Linked DNA regions of Nothobranchius furzeri. The protein of the gene in region 1 purifies or fractionates together with the protein of each later gene. This does not show direct contact. Links are inferred from orthologs where the notes say so. Each region holds a gene or a part of one and is shown in the gene's direction. Other genes may lie near its edges.

Evidence for each region.
Region 2: the proteins of mapk7 (region 1) and vbp1 purify together in Homo sapiens (affinity purification with mass spectrometry; 3 studies listed by BioGRID and IntAct, with this or other methods). This does not show direct contact. The link is inferred for Nothobranchius furzeri from reciprocal best matches to the Homo sapiens genes MAPK7 and VBP1.
Region 3: the proteins of mapk7 (region 1) and pfdn4 purify together in Homo sapiens (affinity purification with mass spectrometry; 3 studies listed by BioGRID and IntAct, with this or other methods). This does not show direct contact. The link is inferred for Nothobranchius furzeri from reciprocal best matches to the Homo sapiens genes MAPK7 and PFDN4.
Region 4: the proteins of mapk7 (region 1) and pfdn6 purify together in Homo sapiens (affinity purification with mass spectrometry; 3 studies listed by BioGRID and IntAct, with this or other methods). This does not show direct contact. The link is inferred for Nothobranchius furzeri from reciprocal best matches to the Homo sapiens genes MAPK7 and PFDN6.
Region 5: the proteins of mapk7 (region 1) and pfdn2 purify together in Homo sapiens (affinity purification with mass spectrometry; 3 studies listed by BioGRID and IntAct, with this or other methods). This does not show direct contact. The link is inferred for Nothobranchius furzeri from reciprocal best matches to the Homo sapiens genes MAPK7 and PFDN2.
Region 6: the proteins of mapk7 (region 1) and pfdn5 purify together in Homo sapiens (affinity purification with mass spectrometry; 3 studies listed by BioGRID and IntAct, with this or other methods). This does not show direct contact. The link is inferred for Nothobranchius furzeri from reciprocal best matches to the Homo sapiens genes MAPK7 and PFDN5.

What each region holds. Positions count from the first base shown.
Region 1 is NC_091756.1:34,357,320-34,361,406, reverse strand, and holds the start of mapk7 (mitogen-activated protein kinase 7), read left to right. Parts: upstream 1-1,287; 5' UTR 1,288-1,548; intron 1,549-2,974; 5' UTR 2,975-2,978; coding exon 2,979-3,243; intron 3,244-3,314; coding exon of another isoform or gene 3,315-3,329; coding exon 3,330-3,495; intron 3,496-3,620; coding exon 3,621-4,087. UniProt on the Homo sapiens protein: Plays a role in various cellular processes such as proliferation, differentiation and cell survival. The upstream activator of MAPK7 is the MAPK kinase MAP2K5.
Region 2 is NC_091742.1:80,080,558-80,084,539, reverse strand, and holds the start of vbp1 (prefoldin subunit 3), read left to right. Parts: upstream 1-1,182; 5' UTR 1,183-1,220; coding exon 1,221-1,337; exon of another isoform or gene 1,338-1,456; intron 1,457-3,264; coding exon 3,265-3,389; intron 3,390-3,529; coding exon 3,530-3,596; intron 3,597-3,982. UniProt on the Homo sapiens protein: Binds specifically to cytosolic chaperonin (c-CPN) and transfers target proteins to it. Binds to nascent polypeptide chain and promotes folding in an environment in which there are many competing pathways for nonnative proteins.
Region 3 is NC_091755.1:40,025,428-40,029,708, reverse strand, and holds the start of pfdn4 (prefoldin subunit 4), read left to right. Parts: upstream 1-1,481; 5' UTR 1,482-1,496; coding exon 1,497-1,610; intron 1,611-1,948; coding exon 1,949-2,056; intron 2,057-2,532; coding exon 2,533-2,673; intron 2,674-4,281. UniProt on the Homo sapiens protein: Binds specifically to cytosolic chaperonin (c-CPN) and transfers target proteins to it. Binds to nascent polypeptide chain and promotes folding in an environment in which there are many competing pathways for nonnative proteins.
Region 4 is NC_091741.1:28,885,127-28,889,159, reverse strand, and holds the start of pfdn6 (prefoldin subunit 6), read left to right. Parts: upstream 1-1,233; 5' UTR 1,234-1,355; coding exon 1,356-1,419; intron 1,420-1,541; coding exon 1,542-1,612; intron 1,613-1,690; coding exon 1,691-1,815; intron 1,816-4,033. Other genes in the region: mmgt1 (ER membrane protein complex subunit 5), read right to left, coding at 217-320, 398-450, 711-789. UniProt on the Homo sapiens protein: Binds specifically to cytosolic chaperonin (c-CPN) and transfers target proteins to it. Binds to nascent polypeptide chain and promotes folding in an environment in which there are many competing pathways for nonnative proteins.
Region 5 is NC_091742.1:74,820,983-74,824,884, forward strand, and holds pfdn2 (prefoldin subunit 2), read left to right. Parts: upstream 1-1,221; 5' UTR 1,222-1,443; coding exon 1,444-1,524; intron 1,525-2,368; coding exon 2,369-2,457; intron 2,458-2,575; coding exon 2,576-2,699; intron 2,700-2,927; coding exon 2,928-3,119; 3' UTR 3,120-3,402; downstream 3,403-3,902. UniProt on the Homo sapiens protein: Binds specifically to cytosolic chaperonin (c-CPN) and transfers target proteins to it. Binds to nascent polypeptide chain and promotes folding in an environment in which there are many competing pathways for nonnative proteins.
Region 6 is NC_091743.1:50,185,884-50,189,978, reverse strand, and holds the start of pfdn5 (prefoldin subunit 5), read left to right. Parts: upstream 1-1,295; 5' UTR 1,296-1,310; coding exon 1,311-1,484; intron 1,485-1,679; coding exon 1,680-1,782; intron 1,783-2,326; coding exon 2,327-2,358; intron 2,359-2,640; coding exon 2,641-2,715; intron 2,716-2,804; coding exon 2,805-2,910; intron 2,911-4,095. UniProt on the Homo sapiens protein: Binds specifically to cytosolic chaperonin (c-CPN) and transfers target proteins to it. Binds to nascent polypeptide chain and promotes folding in an environment in which there are many competing pathways for nonnative proteins.

The sequences.
Region 1 (4,087 bases):
AAGTAAGTTACAAGTCTTTCCAGTCAAGTCAAAGACAACCAAGTCCAAGTCGAGTCCAAAGTCAATGATATGGAAGTCCAAGTCAAGTCCAAGTCCTTAACTTTGAATTTTCAAGTCATAATCAAGTCATCTGTCCAACTTCAATTGAACCCTCCTACTGTCCTAATGGGTGACCCCGCCAGGAAAGTTGACCATTGAGCAGGAATGACGGTTTATCCCTTGAGGTCCATGTGGCAGCAGGGGTGAGGTCATATAAACCATCAACCCTGCTCAATGGTCAACGTTCCTGGCGGGGCCACCCATTAGGACAGTGGGAGGGTTAATGACAATGATAATAAATAAATTCCAGAAATAAAGCTTCTTTAAAATCCATTTATTTGCTGAAACAAGTAAAAAGTGCAACTGAAATAGATTACAAACAAAGTGCTGCTGCATTTAGCAGAACAAGATCAAACCCAGAACGAAGAATGATGTAAGATTTTTGTTCATGTCATGTCCCTTTTGTGCTAAAATATGAAAAACGCTCAAGTCGTCATCAAGTCAACAGATGCAAGTCGATTCATATCGCAAGTCATTGGAGTTCAAGTCTAAGTCAAGTCGTAAGTCTTTATAGATTTTATCAAGTCAGAAGTCATTAAAATAAACACTCGAGTCTGACTCAAGTCCAAGTCGTGTGACTCGAGTCCACACCTCTGTTAAATCGTGTTGTTATAATTGAATACGACACATTTACCGGTTCTGGACAAATTGTGTTGCTTTGTTCAAAAAGTACAAAGTACACAAACCATGAAAGCAAATTAAAACAGTATTTAAAATTGGTATCATACGTAAGCTCACATCAAAAACGTGCCTCAACAGGCTAAAAGCTATTATTTTAAAAATGTCATCTTTTCTGAAAAAAAAAAAATTAACTAATGTAATTTGTGCTTTAATTCTATTTAGAAGGGGGGTTCAGTAAGATCTTATTTAAAACAAACTTTTATTAATTTTCTGCCGAAAGATAATTCCTCCTTTTTAGAAGTCTTTTGACTAATATTTTATTATTTTACCATTTAGAATTTGCTACAGTCCCTTGATTGCTCCATATACAAATTGTTTGTATAACACTGGCTGGTATTTTTTGCTCGATCGGAATCTGGCAAATTGCAGCGTCGCCACCCAAAATTAAATAAATACCACAGAGCCCTTAGTGTCCAATGTAAAGTCCCGCCCTCTTTAGACGTTCTCTATTCCTATTGGTTAGTTTTCTGGTCCTCCTCTCCTTTAATTGGTCCGCCGCTTGGCACTCAACTAAAACATGGAAGTGATTGAGGAAGCTGCAGACAAAACAACTGTATAATCGTGCAGGTTGGCGATTTAAAAAAGAGTGGACCGTAGGGGCTTTGCTCACGACTTGGACGCATTGTACGCAATTTGTAAACGGGGTTTCGAAGTGTGAAGTTTTGTTTTCATGTGGATGAAGTTATGGTTTTACGGCTCAAGAGAAACCTAGAGCCTCACGTAACGTTAACTAGCCGACGCCCCTGTGGGTTAGGCTGCTCCTGTCAAGTAAGTTATTCTTTGTTACCATGTAACGTCAATGTTTAAATGCTGTAATCATCCGCTTCAGTTGGGTTCGTCATCAGGCTTCTCTAAACACTAAAAGCTACAGGTTTGGTCTAAAAGAGTTCAATCCAGGCCTCAAGGTGTGAAGTAAACGAGGAACAATGCACTGCTAAAAATAAAGGAAACACAAAAATAAGACACCCTAGATCTGAATGAATGAAGTATCGTTATTAATCTCATGAGGGATCTCCTCCGAGATCTGGACTAAAGCATCCACCAACTTCTGGACAGTGTGTGGCAACGTGGTGTTGGTGGATGGAGCGAGATGATGTTCCAGATGTGCTCAATTAGACTCAGTTCAGGGAAACGGGCGGGCCAGTCCATAGCATCAGTGCCTTGTCAGGTGAAACTGACTGTTGCTTCCTAAGTGGACAATTTGGTTTCACAGAAGTGTGATTGACTTGGAATTACATTGTGCAGTTTATGCGTTCACTTTATTTTCTTGAGCAGTGCATTTAAACCAGGAGCACGTACGAGCTATCTCATATACTACATAAATTAATTAATGAAAAGGCAATAAAATAAAGATAAAATAATATTTTTAAGATGATTAATGTCTCCGTGCTGTTGGAATACACACACACACACACACACACACACACACACACACTCTATGTGTAACTTTTTCACAGGCTGGCAAAGTATGGGATTTTTTCCAAGTTCGGATTAGTACAGAAGAAAATGAAAAGACTTGAAACTCTACGTTTATGTTTATTCCCAGAAAAAAAATATGACTGAATAATGCATTATGGCAGTCAATGGCATAGATGCCATTAATTACAGTTAACAGCTGTGTATTAAACCTTAACAGAAGATCATTTTGAATTAAATTTCAAAAACAGACAGAAAAATGAATGAAAATAATAAAATAAGATCCAGAGTTGTCTAAAATTTGTGCAAACTCTTAATGCTTTTTTAGTGATTCCATTAATTTTTTTAAAATGACATCTGAGGTTACGTCTTATTTCTTCATAGACAGTTAAATGAACATTTTTACCTATTCAATAATCCCAGGTGTACCTCTGCTCAAATAATTTTTAAATGTTACCACAAACATTTTTTTCTTTGATTTAGCAAAACAATTTACTAAGTAAACATAATAACTTCAGAACATATTATTAAGGTTCACCAACAGTCTATGTTTTCATGGTTTACGTCTGGCCCATTTCATCAGTTGGTAAGAGTGTTTAATACCTTTTTTAAATAAGCAGAGAAACTTTGTCTTTATAAACATGTAAAAACTTAAAACGCTTATCAATCACAACATTGACTTCATAATCATTTATGTAATAATAAAATAATATTTGACAGATATTCAGAGAAGGACATGGGAAACAATATAACTTACGGACTCACTTTGGTACTACAGAAACATGTCCACTGAGCGCTGTGGAGATGCCAAAAGCACCATGTCGCCTGAAAAAATGGCCACCGAAAACAGCAGAGAGAGCCAGAACCAGCGTGAGGCCGAGGCAGCAGGCAGCACCTCAGACACCAGCACAGCAGCAACAAACCTGGCTTTGCTTAAAGCGCACTCTCTAGATGTGAAGTTCGATGTTGGGGAGGAGTACGATATCATAGAAACCATTGGTACTGGTGCTTATGGCGTCGTTTCATCGGCCAGAAGAAGGGACAACGGTAAGGAAGATGTCTTTAAAGAGTTTGGAAAATGTCCTCTGTTTGAAATAAGTCACGATGAAATGTTCTACATGTGCACTCCACAGGCAAGCAGGTGGCGATAAAGAAGATCTCCAATGCTTTTGAAGTGGTAACAAATGCTAAACGAACATTAAGAGAGCTGAAGATTCTCAAGCATTTCAAACATGACAACATTATTGCCATCAAAGACATCCTACAGCCGAACCTTCCCCACTCTGCCTTTAAGTCCGTGTATGTAATGTACTTTATTGTTTTTGTGATGCCAACTCTGCACATATCTGAACATTACACTGTTGCAAACACAAGATCCTTAGTATTTGGTCAGCTGCTTGTCTAAGTCATCTCTGTGTGTGCAGGTATGTGGTGTTGGACCTCATGGAGAGTGACCTACACCAGATCATTCACTCTGCGCAGACTCTAACCCCTGAGCACACGCGTTACTTCCTGTACCAGCTCCTCCGTGGCCTCAAATACGTGCACTCTGCCAATGTCATCCACCGCGACCTCAAACCCTCCAACCTGTTGGTGAATGAAAACTGTGAGCTGAAAATTGGTGACTTTGGCATGGCGAGGGGTCTGAGTTCACACCCAGAGGAGTCTCACTCCTTCATGACGGAGTACGTGGCGACCCGATGGTACCGTGCTCCTGAGCTGCTTCTGTCTTTGAACCATTACAGTTTGGCCATTGACATGTGGTCTGTGGGCTGCATCTTCGCTGAAATGTTGGGCCGTAAACAGCTTTTTCCTGGGAAACATTATGTGCACCAGCTCCAGCTGATTTTGAGTGTGCTAGGCACTCCTCCTGAGGATTTGATCAGCACCA
Region 2 (3,982 bases), on another chromosome or scaffold:
ATTGTTTCTCCTATCAGACCAGATGCTCTCTTCCTCCCTACCAGTCTGGTTCTGAGCTACTTAGCCTCACACAGCAGGCCTGTGTCTGCTGCCGATCAGAGAAAATTTTTAATGATTCAAGTTTTTATTTTTGATTATGAATAAGGGTTCTTTTACATATTTTCCTTCCTGCTGTTTCCGGATGTGTGAACTACTCCTTCACTATCTGATGAATCCTGGTATTATCATTTTGGAATATGCTCGTTCCATCAGGGAAGTTCGAATAACCTGGTCATTCAGTATATTTAGGTAGTCATCTGACCTCATTCTTGGAGCACATCCTGTTGCTGAACCTAGACCTGACCAACTGCAGCAACCCCAGATCATAGCACTGCCCCCACAGGCTTGTACAGTAGGCACTAGGCATGATGGGTGCATTATTTCATCCGCCTCTCTTCTTACCCTGATGAACCCATCACTAGAACAGGGTCCATCTGGACTCATCAGACCACATGACCTTCCACTAGTCCAATCTTCATGCTCCCTAGCAAAGTAAAGCCTTTTTTACCAGTTAGCCTCACTGATTAGTGATTTTCTTATGGGTACACAGCTGTTGCAGTCCCTTGAGTTCCCTTCACGTTGTTGGTATGGGAATGCTCTTACTTTCACTGTAAACATAGCCCTGAGTTCTACTGTTGTTTTGAACCAGTTACTTGAGACCTCTACCTTTTTAGTTCAGCTCATTTACCAGCAATGCCATCAGTCCTGCAGAAGAAACACAATTAATCTGCCTATCTCTTTTATCAAGTGTGAACAAGGCACTAACTCTGGCTTTCTACTCAGTGCGTGAGGGCAACATACAGTTAATAGCCACCATCATAGTCTCTTTTTGTCTCCACTTTGTCTCCACTGGGCACACACCGGTACATTTCAGATGCGTCCCAGAAGTGTAGTGTCATGCCAAGTCTACATTTATGTACTATGCTTCCAGTATGCATCAAGATCAGTAGTTCAAACCTGGCAAGACAGGGAATCAAACACAGAGTATAGTGTGGCTAATTGTGTAAAGCATCTGGCAAATTTCAAAATAAGATCCAAGCGGATTTCCTTTTGCATAACTGTAAAAAACATAACCTCCTTGGTGGAGGTAAAAAAAAAAAGGACAGAAAATGTTGTAGTCTCAGTGGGTCCCCAGTAGAGGCAGCAGAGCTTCCCCTTTACCACTCCGACTTCTTGTACGCATGCGCGTGCGTCAGGACGAAAGAAGCCTCTCCAACATGACGGCGACCATAGACAACAGCAATGCTTCACAGGCGAACAAAAAAAAGCACCTCGGTATCCCCGAAGCAGTGTTTGTGGTGCGTATAACCAGACGCTTCTGACGGTGTTACATGTTTGTAACGGATGTAATGTATATTTGGTGTGACCGGTTTGTCAGCGGCGCAATTCTGACTCAGCTAGGAGGCTAAGTTAGCAGGTGAGCTAACAGAGTGTCCTGCTGTGTGTGCATGTTGGGCGGCTGCTCGCTTCCATCTATGGACATCACTGTCTGCCTGTAATATTCAGCTCACCTGGTGTTTCTGAGGTCCTTCAGCTGGACTTACCTGCCAGAGTCAACTGTGTCTTTAGTTAGCTAGCTAGCTAACTAGCTTGTCCATTACTCAGAACAGTACTAGCATCTTGTCTGACGTGCCCTGTCATAGAGAGCATTAACGAGCACAGCTCAGCGATTTTTTTAAATATTACATTGAAAGATTTCCACTTTAATCTGCTAATGATATTAACTTTGCTAATGTTTTGAGATGGTATTAAAAATGTGAGATTTTTGTATAATCTGGCCAATTTATCTTGATTCGATTCTCATTTAAATTAAAACAGAAAAATAAAGATAGAAAGTAGGCCTGGGACGATAACAGAATTTGTTGGACGATATATTGTCCAACAAATTATTGACGATAAATGATATTATTGTTGACATTATCAAGACCAAAATAACCACTTATGTAATGTTAATATATCATAATAATGCAAGGACACCCATTAAAATGCAACAATTAAACCTTTATTTAACATGGGAATGTCCAGACCCTGAACTTCTAAATAAATAAAACAAACAAAAAATAAATAAATATAAAAGTGCTTTCACTCTTTTAGAAAATATTGCACCAAAAACAATAACGTAGACCCCGTCTCCAAAACAACAAATACAATGGCCTATCCAGTGTCAAGAACCAAACTGCACTTCAATAATAATTGTACATTTCTTAACCTCAATATATTGAGGCTTGATTATTGAGTTCATTTTCAGCCCTAATATGAAGGGAAAATAACACGCATTGGAGTGAACAATAATGTCACAATTAGATCAAAAGTTCAGAATACCATTATGTTTAATGTGTAAATGAATGAAAAATACCAATGACAGACTAAAAGGGTTAAAAATCAAATTATAGATACTTGTAATGCTACCAGATTTGTAGGTGATGTTCTTTGGTTACGATGAGTGGATAAACGGCATCATATTAACAATTTGGGTAATTTATTAATTACTTCAGTGATTTTTCTTCATGGCAGGAGGAAGGTTTACACCTGGACACATTCTCAGATTACAGCACCTTACATGAGTATAGAAATTCTCATTTTCTTTTGTCTTTGTCTTTAACACAACAAATGCATTAATGTAATGAGATAAATAGATTTTTTCTTTTATTATCTGTGCATCAAACCATTTTATAGAATACAGTAACTTTTTTTTTTACCAGTGCCCAGGCGATTTACTTCTGATGCTGTCAAATCAAATTTAAACTGTTCAATCAAAACTTTCTGTGAAAAGTACTTAACTGTTAAATCACACATTTTTTCTCATTTTTAACAGAAAAGCTAAAAGATCATATTTATTTTAAACAAAAGATTATATTATATTTGTATTTATAAAAATGTTTGTAATTTTTTTGGTTTGTTACATTTATTTGTTTAATCTGACACTAATTTAGGGTTTTAATTCTCACTAACCTGTTTTATGGTTTCATTTATTGTGACTTTGAACTTATAGGTATAACAAACGGAAAAGTATTTTAGGAAATGGTAAGACCTTATTTGTGCTTCCATGTTAAAAACACAAAGGCCAATTCAGAAAAGTGTAATTTCATATTTTGTCCACCAGACGGCGCTGCAAACACATCTCACTGAGACTTTAGACATTTGACTTTGTGGTATTGAAAGTCTCATTTGTGGAGTAGTTATATAGGCCTTTCTGTTTTTTAATCCCTGTTTGCTGTTTTCCAGGAGGATGTCGACTCTTTTATGAAGCTGCCTGGCAACGAGACGGCAGACTCTGCTCTGAGGAAGCTGGATGAGCAGTACCAGAAATATAAGTACATGGAGCTCAACCTGTCCCAGAAGAAACTCCGGTAAAACAGAAATACAAACACTACGAGTTATTCGGGTTACATTAATACGTGCATGAATTGATATGTGTGCACCTGGTAGATCTGTAAAGTAGGAAAGCTGGATGCTTATTTATTTAACTAAAATCATTCTTATTTAATAGGTTGAAAAACCAGATTCCACAGATCACACAGACGCTAGAAATCCTACGACACATGCAGAAGAAAAAGGTGGGTGAAGTTCTGTAAACCAGCTCCATACTGGAAGTGAGTCTTCTCCAGTTCCTCTAGAATGACAACATAGGGATGGGTGAAATAAGCTACCGTAAATCCTCTAATACAGGCCCGGGTCTGTATTTGACTCAAGCTCATCAAGCTCCAGGCCTTTATTGGAAGGAGGACCAGAATTAGAGGCAGGCCTCAATTTCTATTTGAGCAAAATGAACTAATGGTTCGCTGGAGTTTTTGACAATTAGAATTGCGCCCACATTTTCAAAGTTAAACACATTTCTTTTAACAACGGTAGTTTCTGCTTCAGCCCTCTCCCCCTGCGCAGCGGTGCAAACTCACTGATGCGCCTGCAGCCTCTCGGAGTTCCTGCTGCTCTAAACATTAAA
Region 3 (4,281 bases), on another chromosome or scaffold:
CCTCCCTCTTTCCACAAGGACGTCCTCGTGCTCCCGCGCAGGGTGCCACCAACACTGCCACACTAATATCCGCGATAAACATCTGTTTAAGTACCGAAAGAGGTTATCTTTGCTTTCTGAATGTCCATATTGCTAGATATGCCGAGTTTTAGGGCGAAATCCTGGGGAATTTTGTCTAGAAATGCAATTACCTAACCGTGCGCGATCCCGCGGTGGCTAATCATTTTTTGGCAGCGAGTCAATTTATGGCACAACACCGGCTCGGGTTTCTCCTCCTCCTCCCTCTTTTCTTCTCCAACCTGTCGCTGGGCTGAGGCTCCATCACTTCCTAAATTGATTTTACTTGAACCTTCACTACCAAACAACTGTGAGATTTTAACACATGTGCCAGCATCAGCCTGAAGGGCCAGTTTCTTTTTTAGTCGAATTTTCTCCGCTCCTCCTTTCCGTTTTTTGTTCTCCATTTTGTAAAGCTCGTCTGTCTGTTTACTGAGATTCACAAACAACTGGCGGGTGCATCAGACCTCTGGCTATTGGTCCAGCCCAGAGTGTATTATTACCAATTGGCCAATCCACCAACTTTTACGAGGCGTCGCGTGGGGTGGCGCGGACAAGTTGTCCGCAACAACTAGAAGCCAGGAAAAAAAACAAAACAAAAAAAAAACAGACACCGGCCCATAAAAGATGAAAGGGTCGGCCCAGCGGGCAGTTGCCCGCTATGCCCTATGGTCAGTCCAGCGCTGCCTGGGAGTCTGGGGACTGAATCCTGATTGGATCATTTTTTTATATCAGCCACAGATCTCTCTGAAGAACTCAGCATTGACGGCTTCAGCAACGCTGTGCCACTCCGTGGATTTTCTCTTATTTGTTTTGCAAAAGTACTTCCTTACATTTCTCCACCTCACCCACAGGTACCTCAACTTCTGCTTGTGTGTAATAGCGCTTTCTTGATCTGCCTTGATCTACGGTCGCCATGTCATTGGCGGAGCGCTGCAACAGCCGGCTTATGTATACGCATGGGATCCACAAGGCACTTTGCATTGACTATTTATGGCAGTAAGTGGGCGTGGTGAGGGCGGGATGTGACTAAAAAGCAGCTGAGAACCTATCTAGATAGTCTCTGATTTATGAAGTTGCAATTGCGTGCAGCTGTGTGTACTCCATGTTTGATAGATCACAAACCTACTTGGCATAAGTACTTTTTTTTTGCTGAGCTTAAGTACGGTTTTAGTAAGGATTCTACACAATGTTTGATAAATGAGACCCCTGGCAGCTTGAAGGTTCTTAGCTGGTCCTAGAACTGCACTCTTCCAGACTGAGTTGTCAGATGTTTGTCCAGGAATTTGTTGGAACCACTTCTCTAGTGTGGGGGTCTCTTCAGAGCACTGTATCATTGTATCATCATTGATCTGTGTCATTATTTGGTTAATAATACTTAAAAAAGACCACTCTGTAAGTATTTGTATTCAATCTTTGTCACATGCGCACAGCATGTAATGCTGAAGTGCTACCGCCAGGTGGTGGTGTCGCAGCGGCTCTCTATTGAGCGCTGCTTTCTGACAACAGCAGAAGAAGTCAAGATGGCAGCTACCGTCATGAAGAGTCCTGTTGTAAGTTCGTTTTTAAAGGAATTTTACGTTTTCCTGTAATTAAATTCATGCGCCGCTTTAGTCGCAGATATGAATGGAAACAGCAGAGGAGTATTTGATGTCAGAAGTCACAGTTTTTGGGGTTTATTTTAACCATTCTCACCACCCGTTCATGTGAGTGAGTGGAGCTAATGTAGCTAGCACAGAGGCTACAACCACCCTGCCGGGCAGCGGCTGAAGCTGACGACGGTTTATCGGTTTGTCACTAACCAGCTCTGTGGGAGTCGACCGGACCTCAGACCCGGTGCGCTTGTGAAATGTTTAGTTATTTACAATTAACGTCATCTTCCGGTTTGCAGGCTGTTGAAGACGTGGTTGTCACGTTCGAAGATCAGCAGAAAATCAACAAATTCGCCAGAAACACGAGTCGGATGACGGAGCTCAAAAATGAAATCGAATCAAAGAAGGTGAGTTTGGTGTTTTCTGCTGAAGCATCCTCGTTTCCTGTAACCTTAACCCGATGCTGGCTTATTTCAGGTTTTTATCCAGCCTGGGTAATGTTGAGTAGATTTCTTACATCTGTCAGGAACTGATCGCAGTGTTTGTTGTTTCTGGCTGGCTAAAGGAAGATCAACATGACTTTTTAAAGAGTAAACTCAGACCTCCATCAGATGGTGGCTTTGTGGCTCAGAGGCACACTGGTAGCTCTAACCTCCAGAACGTCAGTGCCTACATGGAACAGTTGCCACTTATGCAGATCAACACCGGTGGGGTTTGACTTCGGCAGTTTCCTCTAAAATGCCAAAGTCATACACGCAAGTTGATGTAGAACCCTGTTATTTAATGTGTAAGGAGTCTGATGTGTCCTGGAAGAGCTACTGGAGCAGTCAGTAATCTATGAACTGCCCTCACCGATTGCTTTGTGTGTGGTGTCCTCTTTCAGAGAACGCTGCAGAACCTTCAGGATGCCAGCGACGACCTGATGCTGTTAGACGACGACACTCTGTTGATCCCCTACCAGATAGGTGGTGTCTTCATCAGCCACTCCCAGGAAGAAACACAAGAGATGCTAGAAGCTGCTAAAGTGAGTGGATCCACGTAACTCAGTAACTCGTTTTGCTCTTCTCTTAAAACATCAGAGAGAAAACCGAATTCAAGTCGCTGTGCAGCTCGAAGGTGTCGAAACAAACCCGGAACTATCGAGGTTAGAGCTGAGGAAAATAATCGATGCATCGGGATGCGGACATAAACGATTCTGCATCGTAGAAGAGTACGCCATCATCGATTATAGTGGAATGTAGTTTTGTTTTTTTAACAGCGGCACCAGCGCAGCGTCCAAATCTGTCAGAGTGAGCGTCCTCCACATTTACCAAGTGGTTCCGCCTTAATGTGGTTCTGCAGGGCTGAGCGCTTGAGTTCTAACCTGAGACCGAACCGGAACCGAATCAGCCCGACTAGTTCTGTTGGATTTGGGCCCTGAATTACGTCAATTGAGTGGGTTGTCACACGGCGCGCTCCGCTCGCACAGCAACTGAGAGAGGGAGAGAGAGGATCGGAGGACGCTCCTCCAAACCGATGCTCCAAACACGCGTTATTATTTTCATAATTTAATTATTATTTCTCCTGGAAGCGCTCAGTCAGACCGAGTGTTGTGATGCTGGGAGATCCGGTCTTGGGGAGGGGGCGGGGTCAATGACGGTGGCTGCAGCGTGATCGTCTTTTATTTAGGGACACGGAGAAATTAAGAGGAGAGAGATAGAAGATAGAAGTTCTTGTTCCACTTTATTCTTTTGTGTCATGATGATAATTTGATGTTAAATTCAGCTTAAAGAGAAGCTGGGAGGAAGCTTTGGTTCATTTTAAGTTACAGGAGGTCTTGTCTCCCATCTGCTCCTCCAGAGACAGCATGGACATGAGGGTCACATGGTGAGGGTCCCACAGGACAGGTTAGTGGAAAGGTTAGTTAGCTGGTTAGTGAAGGAGCTCCATCAGCTGGGTAATTTAATCCTAATCCAGCCCACAGCCTTCTGCTGGTGTTATTATCAGAAAGAATAAAACACACATCTTAAATATTATTGGAAGTGTAGAATTTGTTTTATGTTTTATTATTTTCTGCATCAAACAGAACTTGATTCATTCTCCAACATTTCAGAAATGAACCACTGGGTTCAAATGAAATTAAGTCAAACATTTCATTTGGTGTTATTTCTGACACCCTTCAACTGTGGCATAAATATCGGACTCTAGAGCTGCTCAGAGACATTAAACACTCATATATGAACCCATTATGGATTTTATTATTACGTTATGTTTCCTGTAGGTTTTCAGTACTTTTTTAGATTTTGTGAGTTTTTGCAAAGCGTGTTCTTCTCAGCCTGAGGCGTGGTGTTGAACGAGGAAACAGATGTTTTACTTTGTTAAATCTTCTTAAATGTTTAAATGTTTTGTCCTAACCTGTTGTGAATGGAGAGATTTTGAGGGACAGCAGGTTGTGTCGATTACGCTTTTGATAAAAAAAACATAAAACTAAAAAGCAATTATCTGACATCTTCCATTTATCGATGAAAACAAACTAATATGAAATAATCGTGATGCGGGATGCAGCTATCGAATATTTTTGTAATCGAGTACTCTATCGAATCTTTTATCGATTAATCGAGTACTCTAATAAATTACTCTTTTGTGTTTTTAA
Region 4 (4,033 bases), on another chromosome or scaffold:
CAAATTAGTGTTTTTCAACCTAAATAAGACAAAGAACCGAGAGATGTTAGTCTCGTCGAACAGAGCTCTGGTGGTTGTCCATCCCTAACTAGTGTATCTGCCGAACTGCCTTATGGGAGTTGAGAGTGTCCCTGTGGAGGGATGTTCCACAGAGCTGAAATCGAACCGGGTCACAAACAGATCCGGTACCGGAGGCTGTAAAGGGAATCTACTCACTTGTTTTTCAGCTCCGAGGACGCGTCCATGTCCTTGAACTCTCCAGCGATGTGAACGATCCCGTAGCAGGTCATCACAAACGATAATAATGTCTGCAGAACGATCTGTGGTGGGAGCAAGACGACGGTGAAGACAAATAAAAAGCAGGGCTCTCTCTGAAGACCAGAGATGGGTTACTCACGTCGATAGGCAGCGTTTCGTGCTCCTTCTCTGTGAGCCGCATGTATGACCGATCTGATGGGAGAGTTGGGATTTAATCAGAGTAATATCGACAATAACTCACAGAATACTCTTAATCCAAACATTAAACGACGGCAGTCACACAGAAGCGAGCAGGTACAGATTAAAGTCTTCCTCCGTTGGAGGCTCTAGCGGAGCTAGCTAAGCTGCTGTGGCCACAGGCCCCGCGGTCCTTCACTCGGTGGAGACTCAGTCCAACCAGAACTAACCAACACAGGAAAACATCGGTCTAACATCTTGGCGCTGAAACTCACGCTGTGCTGCCGAGAACGCTGCGTGGGCCAAGGCAAAGAGTCCGATGCCGACAACACCTTTCCAAAACGAAGAAGCCATCTCGAAGCAGGGCTCAGAGGGACTGTGGGCACCGTCGTAAAACAGTCGTAAACTGACGCAACTGTCACTGCGTCAAAACCAAAACCTACCTGCCAAATGATTATTTATGTTCGTTAAATATTATTATTCGCAGCCTGATATCTGTAAAATCATTTTATTTATGTGTTTTTGCCCTCTATTTAGATTTTTGTGAGCTGAAAATACCCAAAGAAAGCTGTCAGACGTCAAATGGTGCATTCGAATCACATCCTAAATTACATGTTTCTAACCAAACTCATTGATCTCCAACCAATATATTTGATCGAAAATTGAAGATTAGATGTATAACTAGAAAGAGCTTTTCATGGTTTAGTGAGCGTTTGCGTCAAAATAAGTCCAGATACACATAATTTTATTCTGACCTCGATTTAAAACCAGAATATCCGAGTGTGCCCTGAATCTTCCACTACATCCGGTCTCTGCGTAGCTTCTTCCTGTTAGCTAGCGCTGTTCTCTCATGTTGCCTTGCTAAGCGCTCTGTTACAATAATTAAACTTTTACAGTTGTGTAAGATAAAATAAGCAAACATGGCAGACGCCATTCAGAAGAAATTAAAAGCGGAAGTAGAAAAGTATGCACAAATGCAGAAAGGTGGGTTTTCTTTATGTGCTATCACAAGTTTTAGAGGGCATGTAGCCGCTATGTGTGCATGAAGTAACGTTAGCTTTTTGGCCATAAGAATAGTTTTTTAACCCACCTGCGTGTTTTTTCAGATGTTAGCAAGAACATGTCAGCCAGACAGAAACTGGAGACGCAGCTGACAGAGAACAACATTGTTAAAGAGGTAACTTCAGTCCTGTATGGCTGTATATCACAACGGTTTGTGTGTAATAATCCAGACATGACTCGCCTGTGTTTCCAGGAGCTGGATCTGCTCGACAGCTCAAACACCATCTATAAACTTATCGGTCCTGTTTTAGTGAAACAAGATCTGGATGAGGCCAAAGCCACCGTGGCTAAAAGACTGGAGTACATCAACGGGGAAGTGTAAGTCAAGCTGCTGCTTTACTGTTCTACAGCTCACCTGCACACCAATGTCTGTGTCACAGTGGTGAAAGATGGTTAGATTTGATCTTGTTTTTACAATTTCAGGTGGACGAAGCCGGTTAAACCCTGATTTTACTCAGACTCAGGCAGGAATCTTAATGGAAACAAACATAAAATGTAATTCTGAGCAATGCCAGACGCAGAGATGAGATCATCAAATTAATGCGAATATTAAAAAAACAGTTGGCCCTTATCATTTATTGCCATTGACAGCTAAAGACGTCATTTTAAATCCAGTGGCTCGCTGCAATTGACAACTAAAGCTGTCAGTTGCATTGTTTTAACGGGGTGGGCGTGGGATCGAGCCCCCGCACCATGAGAGTAAACATGACGTCTCTAAAGCTGATCTTAGTCCGTGTGTCACACGTCACCTGATCAGGAAGGAGAAAATCCATGAATTGGGATATTGTTTTGGGACGCTGCTGTGAAAAAAGCGAGGCGCTAACCAGAAAAGCGTCTGCAGCTCACACTTGGACAACAGATTGTGAAAGAATGGTTAACGCTAGAAACACGGTGATTCTTCCTGATGTAAAAAGTGAGTCTACTCTTTCTTTCGATAGTTTTGGCGTTTGCATGATCATAGAGCACAACGTTCTGACTCTTCAAAATCAGTAAAAACGCTCAAAAACGCTGGCAGCCAGGGGATTTCTGATCAGAAAACAGCGCAGTGAGTGAGTTAAACAGGATCCACCATAGTTCCTTATTTTCTTGTGGGTTGAAGCTGCTGACAGTCGCTTTTAAAACCATTTATTTAACCAGGAAGTCTCATTTTTAGTTGAACATGAAGGGACTTTCTTAAATTAGCGTGTTTGACATAACCGAATCCTTCACTAAGCGATTCCGGGTTCTAGCATGGCGGTGGTTAGGATGATACGTTTCACCTCTTGAGTGTGCACTGACGGAAGCATATTTTTTGCGTGTCACTTTTCCACTCAAAACGCAGCACTGAAGAGATGAAGTTGGAGAGGAACGGAAAACTTCATCCACAAAGACCAGCAGTTTGTTTTACTGGAGAATTAGACTGGAAAACCGGCATTCCCAGTTAGAACCAGAGAGGAATGTTTCAGTAAATCTGAGTAAATACCTGCTGCTGGAATTAAATGAATCAAATACAAAATCAGAAAATACAAAAAAAAACAATCGAATCCAGAATTATAATAGTTTTACTAATTTTGCTTGTTATTCTCATCATTACATATTTCCAGAGATTGTGAGTTAATTAAAATTAAAAAACACAAATTCCATATTTCTGACTGTGAGGATTATGTATTTTGATACTCGACACCCAATGTGTCACATATTAAAATATGCTGACTAATCCCAGCTGTCAGCCGAACGAAGGATTAATTGTATTGGACACAGAGACAATCGCATATTTAAACCTGGAAACAAACAAACAAAAAAATTTGAAAAATACAAAAGCAATGAGACAAATGAAAAACCTGCTAAACTTTGGAGAAGCCATGGCGCTCACACCGCCTTCACACTGGCTCAGCAGGAGCAGGAACACCTCCCGTTCAGGTTCAGTTATCCTGGTTATTCCTCCTCTCCTCCTAATCCTCAACCTCCATCTTTGAGAGTGGAGCTTGAAAAATCAGAAAAATGTGACGGCTGGATCGAATCAACAACAAAAATAATTTTCCTACAAGGCATTCTGTTTCGGACACACAATCATTTATGTTGAAACGTACCTTAAAGGGATACGATGTAAAGTTTTCATATTTTTAATCATTTTCTTGAGTAAGTATGTGCTAGAATGACCCTTAAAGGAGTCATCACCCGTTACTACCGTGGATATCTACATCACATTATATTATTTAGGCCATGAAAGTCATTTGTATTGGAAAATTAATTAAAAAAGTGCTTTTCTGACCCTTTTTTGTAAAGGACAGGTTTTCTCACAAGAGCACACGCGATATTTCGGCTGTGCTGGGCGTGTCATTTGGAACCGTAGGGTGTCCATGAAAGATCCCGCCTTTCTCGCCTCTGATTGGCTAGAAGGACTCAACTACGATTGGCTATTTTATTTAGCAGCAAACTGGCTTCCCGGCCAGTGAAAATTCATTAGGAAGACATTATATGGATTTTTTTCAAGTGGAAAGGTGAAAACTTCAGGTGATGACTCCTTCAGCAGGGTTACAGAAATGTAACTCAGACC
Region 5 (3,902 bases), on another chromosome or scaffold:
TTATAACAATATGTGGTAATAACAAAAAAACAAAAATAAATAAATAAAATAAAATAAAACTTTAAATGTAATGAAAAGTCCATTGTTTTAGGATGTGGAATAGTTTTTGAGTTGGCAATGTTTTTATACTCCTAAAATTGTTTTTAAAGTATTATAAATGCATCATAATCATTCAAATATAACACAGGTTTATAAATAACTATCAAAAATACCCTTAAACCAGACTGAATAAATATATTATTTTGCAAAGCAAACGTTTGGTCTAGTTCACTAATAAGATATAAACAGCACGTATACGTCGCATTTCAGTCAACTTTGAAGACATATTGACAATAATATTGTGTGTTTCTCAATTACAACTCTTTTCGTAATCATTCTGATTATTATGGCAAAGTTTTACATTAATAAATTTAAGTTCAGGTGCACTAAACCATGCATTGTTGCTTTTGAAAACAAATTCAAACAACACATTTAATGTGTTCAATCTTCTGAAAACCCCAGAGCAAATAAAAATCTAGAGGTCTGTATGAGGTTAATCCGCTTTCAGCAGTCCTTTACAGCGTTTGAATTATAAAAATAAAAAAATGTCGATAAATGCATTTAAGTGTATTTTTGTATTAAAAATTTACATGTATTTCTTCATTTGTTTTTAATTATTGATTTTAATTTATGTACGGTGTGCTTCTGATTATTGTCTAACATGAAAACTTTTGTTATTTTTGTTCATTTTTGTTTTGCTTTTGATGTTACCTATAGGCTGCTGTAAAGCACATTAAGTTACCTTTGTATAGGAAATGTGCTATACAAATAAAGCTGTCTTGTCTTGTCTTGGCGGTGTGCAAATTAATTAATTTAATGATTAATATGTCCTTTGGCTGAAATAAAGAATATTTGAAAGAGAAAAAACACGTCTAAAACTCCACGATGCAGAAACTGCTTTAATAAATAAGCTAGATTCGGAAAATGGGCTGCATGGTGGCGCAGTTGTTAGCACTGTTGCCTCGCAGCACGAAGGTTGCAGGTTCGAAACTCGGCTGCGGCCTTTCTGCGTGTTGCGTGTTCTCCCCATTCATGCGTGGGTTTCCTCCGGGTACTCCTGTTTCCCCCACAGATCAAAACATGCCCCATACGTTATAAATTGCAAGTCACTTTGGATAAAAGCCTCTGCCAAATAAATAAACATAAACATAAAATAAAAAAGCGTATGCACGAAAAAACAAAAACAATACAAAGTTGATGGAAGTTAATAGAAATTATTCCTTCAAATGCCATTTTATTTTATGTTGAATTAAGTTGTATTTTGTTTGCGGTTCTGCTTCTGAGTTTTTACATGAAAAAGTAAAAGATGGTTGCAAAGTAATTTAGATGTTTTACAAGCCGCATTTGCACTCAGGCAATCTCATTAGATAGCTGCAGGGTCCTAATTGGCAACACCCTTCCAAGATGGCAGCGAACGGTAGCAGCACGGGTAGCAAGTCCAGCAGCAGCGCCGGCGGAAAACAGTCCGGACTTTCAGCTGAACAGGTACTCTCAATTATATAAAAAGGTTTCATTTGTCGTTACAATTATTTCTGTTGTTGTTTGGCTCAGTTTGGTAAAGCAGAACTAAAAGTATAGCCCCTAGCTAGTCTAAGCTAACATTAGCATTCCTGTCGCGATCATCTGGCTCAAAACCCAAATTTGGACATCGGGAACCGTTAGGAGTCTAATAAGGACATTATGAGAGTTTACATCAAACTCTTACTTCTAACAATTTTTACGTTAGTCTATGTATTTACGGTTTTGAAATAATGTGTTTGGTTTGGTGTGACTAAGCATAAAGCTATTTTTGTCCACCTAACCCTAATAAATTATTACTCAGACCATATTAAACAAATCACTGCTGTAATGTCTGTAATACAGTGCACTGTAGTCCGTAATATATCCTTTAACAACAATAATGGCAACATTAGAGTCGAGCAATACCTTCAAATATGTGTCAAAACCTTTATTGATCAGGTTTTACAAAAATAATAATAAAATGTAAATATTGCCATATTGTATCATAACCTTTTTGTTATTTTCTTACATATAAAGTCTATGACTCTGCGTAAATGGTGATTAAAACCATCAAATAAACAAAGTTTATGTCCACTACTTCTAAAAAGTTGTAGATTAAATCTGATAATAAAATTAAACCTTTACCATTAATGAGTTGCTGCATTATGTACATTTATTTAATAATCTTTTAAACAAAATTGTAATATGCTAATTACCAGTTATGACTTTAAGAGTTTGGTTTCAGTAGACAACTAAGGAGTAGCAGCATCTGTTTTTTATTTATTTATTATACTTAATAAAAAAATGATCAAATTCCATTTGTTTTCAGGTGGTAGCAACATTTCAGAGGATGCGTCAGGAGCAGCGTAGTATGGCTTCGAAAGCTGCTGAGCTGGAGATGGATGTCAACGAGCACAGGTTGGTGGAGCATCATCTACATTTATGTTCTAGACACAAATGTTTCACAAGATTTTGTAGGGGAAACAATCCAAAAGACAGACCGTTTAATACCTTTGCTATTTCTTTTCATATTTAGTTTAGTAATTGAGACCCTAAAGGAAGTGGATCCTTCCAGGAAATGCTTTCGTCTGGTTGGAGGAGTGTTGGTGGAAAGGACAGTAAAAGAAGTTCTACCAGCCTTAGAAAACAACAAAGAAAAGGTAATGTTATTTATTTCGGTCACAGGAATGATCAGGAGAATAAACTGAGACATTTTAAATCACTTATTTAACACCAAAATAACAATAAGTGTACATCGAGTTAATCTACATAATTTCACAAGAAAGAGTTTTGTTTATAGGTTTTGAAGTCAAAAATAAACGTTTAGGTGTCAACTGCAGGATGTTTCGTTTGTCTGATTTCTCATCCATCTTCCTCTGTTCTAATAGATTTCCAAAATAATCGAGACCATCAACACACAGATGCAGGCAAAAGGACAGGAGCTCACAGAGTACAGAGAACGTTACAATATCCGGCTGGTTGGAGAGGGTGAAGGAGAGGCGCAGGGCCAGTCGGCAGCAAACTCGCAAGACAATGAAGGAGGAGGATCCAAAAGTGGAGCAGGAGTTCTGGTCTCATAATGCTTTGAGGATGGACAGGGACAGCAGTGCCCTGTTATTTCTGCAGCACTGAAGAAGAAATGAAAACTAGCTCAAGTCAAGGAATTTAGGTGGAAAACTGAACTTTTCATAATGTTCCTTTTAGTTTTCTTGTTTAACTGTAATTTCCTGGAAGTTGTAATAATCATGGTCATCTGCTTCTCTGTTCAGTTGTTTATGTCCTCATTAAGGTCATTTGCCTTGCAGATGTTTTTTAAAATGCTGTCATACATTCAGCAAATAAATTAAAATGCCATAAAAAGGATTTTGAAGTTGCTGACATAAGTAAAAACATTTATCTTTCTCATCTAGCATATAAATCCTGTTGCACTGGGATGAAATTTTTAAAGACATTAAAAAAAAGTTAATGTCAGAATTAGATCCTTTTGCATTGTCATTAAGCATACACAATCGAAATTTATTGGTATGTCAGCTTTGAAAACGCACAAAGCTTTAAAAATGATGTACATTTTTGCGAAAAGGATGTAAAGGACTGAAAAACAACAAATAATTAAACGTGACTCATGAACAGGAGCCAGTACACAAAAGGAAAAATGGAGAAAAGGAAGAGGTTTCTCATGCTCACCAGATTATGTCATTGCGGCAGAGCCTGCCTCAACTCGACAGTACAGTGAGCTCTCACTCGGTTTTTACACTGCACACACTTCCAAAGCTTTACGGAAATAGTGCTTATGAACGCTTTCAAAGTAAAAGCCAGTCTCTGAAACGTGTTTTCAGACTTATTTCAAACGAACCATTCTAGAA
Region 6 (4,095 bases), on another chromosome or scaffold:
CATCCTTAAAAAATGACAGAAATATGGTGTTCTGTTAGTAAACTTACATTTATGAATAAAGAATTTAGCTAAGAGTATTAACATATTTATCATAAAAAACATTTATCATTCTTCATGGGGAACTTAAAGAAACAGAATAAAACATTTTCCCATCGTAAAGAAAACTCCCTTAAAATATGGACAGTAACAAACCTGCTAAATTCCTTCCAGAATCTTTGTGTAAAAGAACAGCACCAAAAAAGATGTGTCACAGTTTCTGGATGATCCCCACAGAAAGTACAATTAGTATTTATGTCCCTTAGTTTTGAGTTTTAACCACAGTGACACAAGTGAACGTGAACTTTCTGTTGTGCAAATGTCGTCCTCCTGTGGCTGTTTGGTGGCACTACATCTGGTTAGCAATGGCTTCACAAATTTTTCCATTAGTTGCTAAAAAATGAAGAAAACGGAACATCTGTGATATGAAAGGAATCAAAATAAAAAACATGACTCAGTAAAAGTATAGATATGCAGCTCATGTTTGAAAGGTTTTGTGTTTTATGACTCAAGTTGATTAAATTTGGTTGTTTTAAAATATCACAAATCAATTTGTATATTTAAATATATACATATTAAACATAGATAAGCAGGTTTTCTTAAGGATTGAAAAAAAATTGTGTTCTAATGAAAAAGACCCAGTTCATCTACCTGGTGTGAAAATGATGACATTGACGGTGTATCTTTCTTTTTTTTAGATCACAGATGCTCGAACAAAAATTATGATTTTATTCAATTACTTCGATAGAAGGAATTTTCATTTAAATAAAATGTAGCAATTAACACATATTAATTATGACCAATAAGATGTGATATTCCATACAAATATGAAATATCAATCTGATTGATCTTTGAATGTTTAATCAGAAGATTCTAGGGTCCTTTGCTTATTCAGGGACCAAAAACACACCTCGTATAAATTCAGAGTCAGTGTATAGTTTATAAAATGAATTTTATTATTGCATTCATTATTAGGGGAATATTTCATATAAACTCCCATAAACAGAATATGTTGCCACCAAGTCAAATTACCGATTACAAATAACTGTATATTAAAAGTTTATTTAGACAAAAAAAAGTTAAAAACAACTGCATTTGTTGTTATTTTTGTGAATTTGGTTGACTTTTATTTTTATTTAATAACTTAAACATTTACTGCTACATCAAAATGCATTACTTATTTTTGAAACAAAAATGTGTATCCTTTAAAAATAAAACGTCTGTAAAAGGATGAAAGAGATGGCCATAGAGGTACATTTCTTTCCGGTTGCGTCATGGACAAATTTACATTTGTCCACATGGGGGCGGTAATGAGACCGTATTCCATCGTATTAGGCGGAAGCAGAACTGCGTCAGTGCAGGTTGGTCATCACGCTTTCAACATGGCGGTGAATCTTTCAGACCTCTCCATGCCTCAGTTAGAAGGATTAAAAACCCAACTGGATCAGGTATTATCATCAGTAACATGCTGTATTGGAAGTATTTGTATTTATGTAGCTAAATGCACGAGGTATTGTTAAATAGGAGACCGATGCGGGCTAAACACCCCCGTTAGCGTTCTGTGCCGTAGACAACCGGTGGTGTTGCTAACGGTGTTTCTGTCCCGGGTTGAATCTTTTTGTACATTTTGATGTTTCTTTCAGGAGGTTGAGTTCTTGACGTCTTCGATAAGTCAGTTGAAAGTTGTCCAGGCCAAGTATGTTGACGCGAAAGACAGCTTGAATGTACTGAACCAAAACAATAAAGGTGCGTTTTTAAATCACAATCTGACACAAACTGTTGGCTCCCGAAATGTTTATCCATACCTCTCACAAGAACTACTACTATAAAAGAATGACATTTAAAACAATCGGTACGATTATGATTTTTCATTGTGGTCTGGTGATATGTAGAGTTTAAAAAGTAATTCAATTCAGTTTAATAATACTTTATTAATCCCAGAGGGAAATTAGAGTTTCAGTACACACAATTCTGAGATCAGACATACATACATACATACATGACAAGAATTGGTCGCACAAGAGGGTTTATATGAGGAGATATGCACACAGACTTCAGACATTACACAACATAAGTGTCCACTAGGTGGGGAGGTAGGGTTGGGACTTTCCTCAGGTGCGTGCAGCCGCATGGGGGACAGAGGAGGGACATTAATGGGTTGGAGAGCACAGTGACTCCTAGAAATGGTTCCTTCACTGTGCCTTCACCTGTCAGTCCCGCCCAGGCTGGGAGAGGGAGAAAGAGTTGCCTATTTATTTGGATTGTGACCCATTTCTTTTCTCACAAACAGGAAAGGAATTGCTGGTGCCTCTTACAAGCTCTGTATCCTTTTTAAATTATCCAACATTCATTTTATTTAACCACTGGCATAAAATACATATATGAAACATCCAGGTGAAAGGAGCTGTAAGGTTTTGTCCATCGTTGTGTTATTTACTATCTTCCATCTACTTTCGGTTTCTTTTTTCTAACTTGAAACAGTTCTTCAGCAACACGTTGTTTAACATCTTTACACATTAAAATCATACATTTATTCACACAACTTAGCATCTTAGTGAAGGTGGATTCTTTTAGCATGTTTGTCCTTTACAGTTTTCTCTTCAGATGTATGTCCCTGGAACATTAAGTGATGTGGAACATGTCCTAGTTGACGTGGGGACAGGATATTATGTTGAAAAGGTAATATATATTTAGATATATATTATAAATAAATAAAACAGATTTTAATTAAGAAGAAGCTATTTAAACATGCGTGTTTGCTTCTTTAGAACGTGGAGGACTCAAAAGCTTTCTTTAAGCGCAAAATAGACTTTCTCACAAAGCAGATGGAGAAAATTCAGCCGGCTCTTCAGGAAAAGCATGCTGTGAAACAAGGTAAGGTTAATTGTGTGAATTTGACATTTAAAATCTTTTTTTTTCAGCATTTATAGATGTTCTGCAATCTGTTAGCTCTTTGATTATGTATTGGGAATTAATTGCTGTCAACTACTAACATTTTAATTGATCTCAATAGCTGTAAACCGACTGAGTTATATAGTCAGTTTTGTGTTTGCTATTGTTTATTAGCTGTGGTGTCAGTTGAATCAGAATGTTAAACAGTTTGAGACACATGTACGTTGATTATGTTTTATGAATTCTGTGAAGATCTGATTGTTTAAGAATTTGCGAACAGATGTGAAAACACATGTTTGATAAAAGATAAAAGGGTCAGTGTGTAGTTTTTAATCGTTAATCTCTGGAAATATCCTTCAAAATTAAGCTATTTATAAAACCAGATAACGTATATAATTTCAGATACAAACGTAACTTTAGGCATACATATTTTAGAACAACATTAAAGTCATTTTGTATTTCTGTTACGGGTGTAAGAGTTTGGAATAAGCTAAGTGGGGATCTAAAGCAAAGTCCCTCATTGCATACGTTTAAAGATAAGTATAAAACAATTATACTAACTAATCACATGGAGGAGGAGGAAAAGTTGTAAGGGTGCTGCATTTGATTGTAATTGTCTATGAACTGGGAGCTGTGAATATGGGGGGGGGGGGGGGGGGGAAACATAAAAAATGTAAATTTTGCTTGTGTGATTGAGGATAAAACATGTTATAAGAAAATGGCTATGACAGTGTAGGGAAGAGAATTTTTTTGTTTTTATCTTCCTTGAAATTTGATTTTGGGAGGGGGGGGGGGGGTGATTATACAAGCTACCAGAGCTTTTTTCCCTTCCTATTGAACATGTTTCTATATATATATATATATATATATATGCATATACATATGTATGGGTTCCTTTTTGAATACTTTAATTTGTCTATTGATTTACATGTTCAATAAAGAAAGAAATGAAAAAATGTTGACAATGACAAAGTAAATGATACCCAGTAGTTGATTAATATTGGTGGCTTCTCAACATATAACCATATAAATCTGGGGCCGGGCCTAAGTCTCTGGGCGACACCATATTAGATGCCATGTTTCCTTCTACGGGAGCCCTTAAGGACAAAATGCAATTACTGATTTGTAATAAACGATTACAAAATTTTCACCATTCATAAACATTGT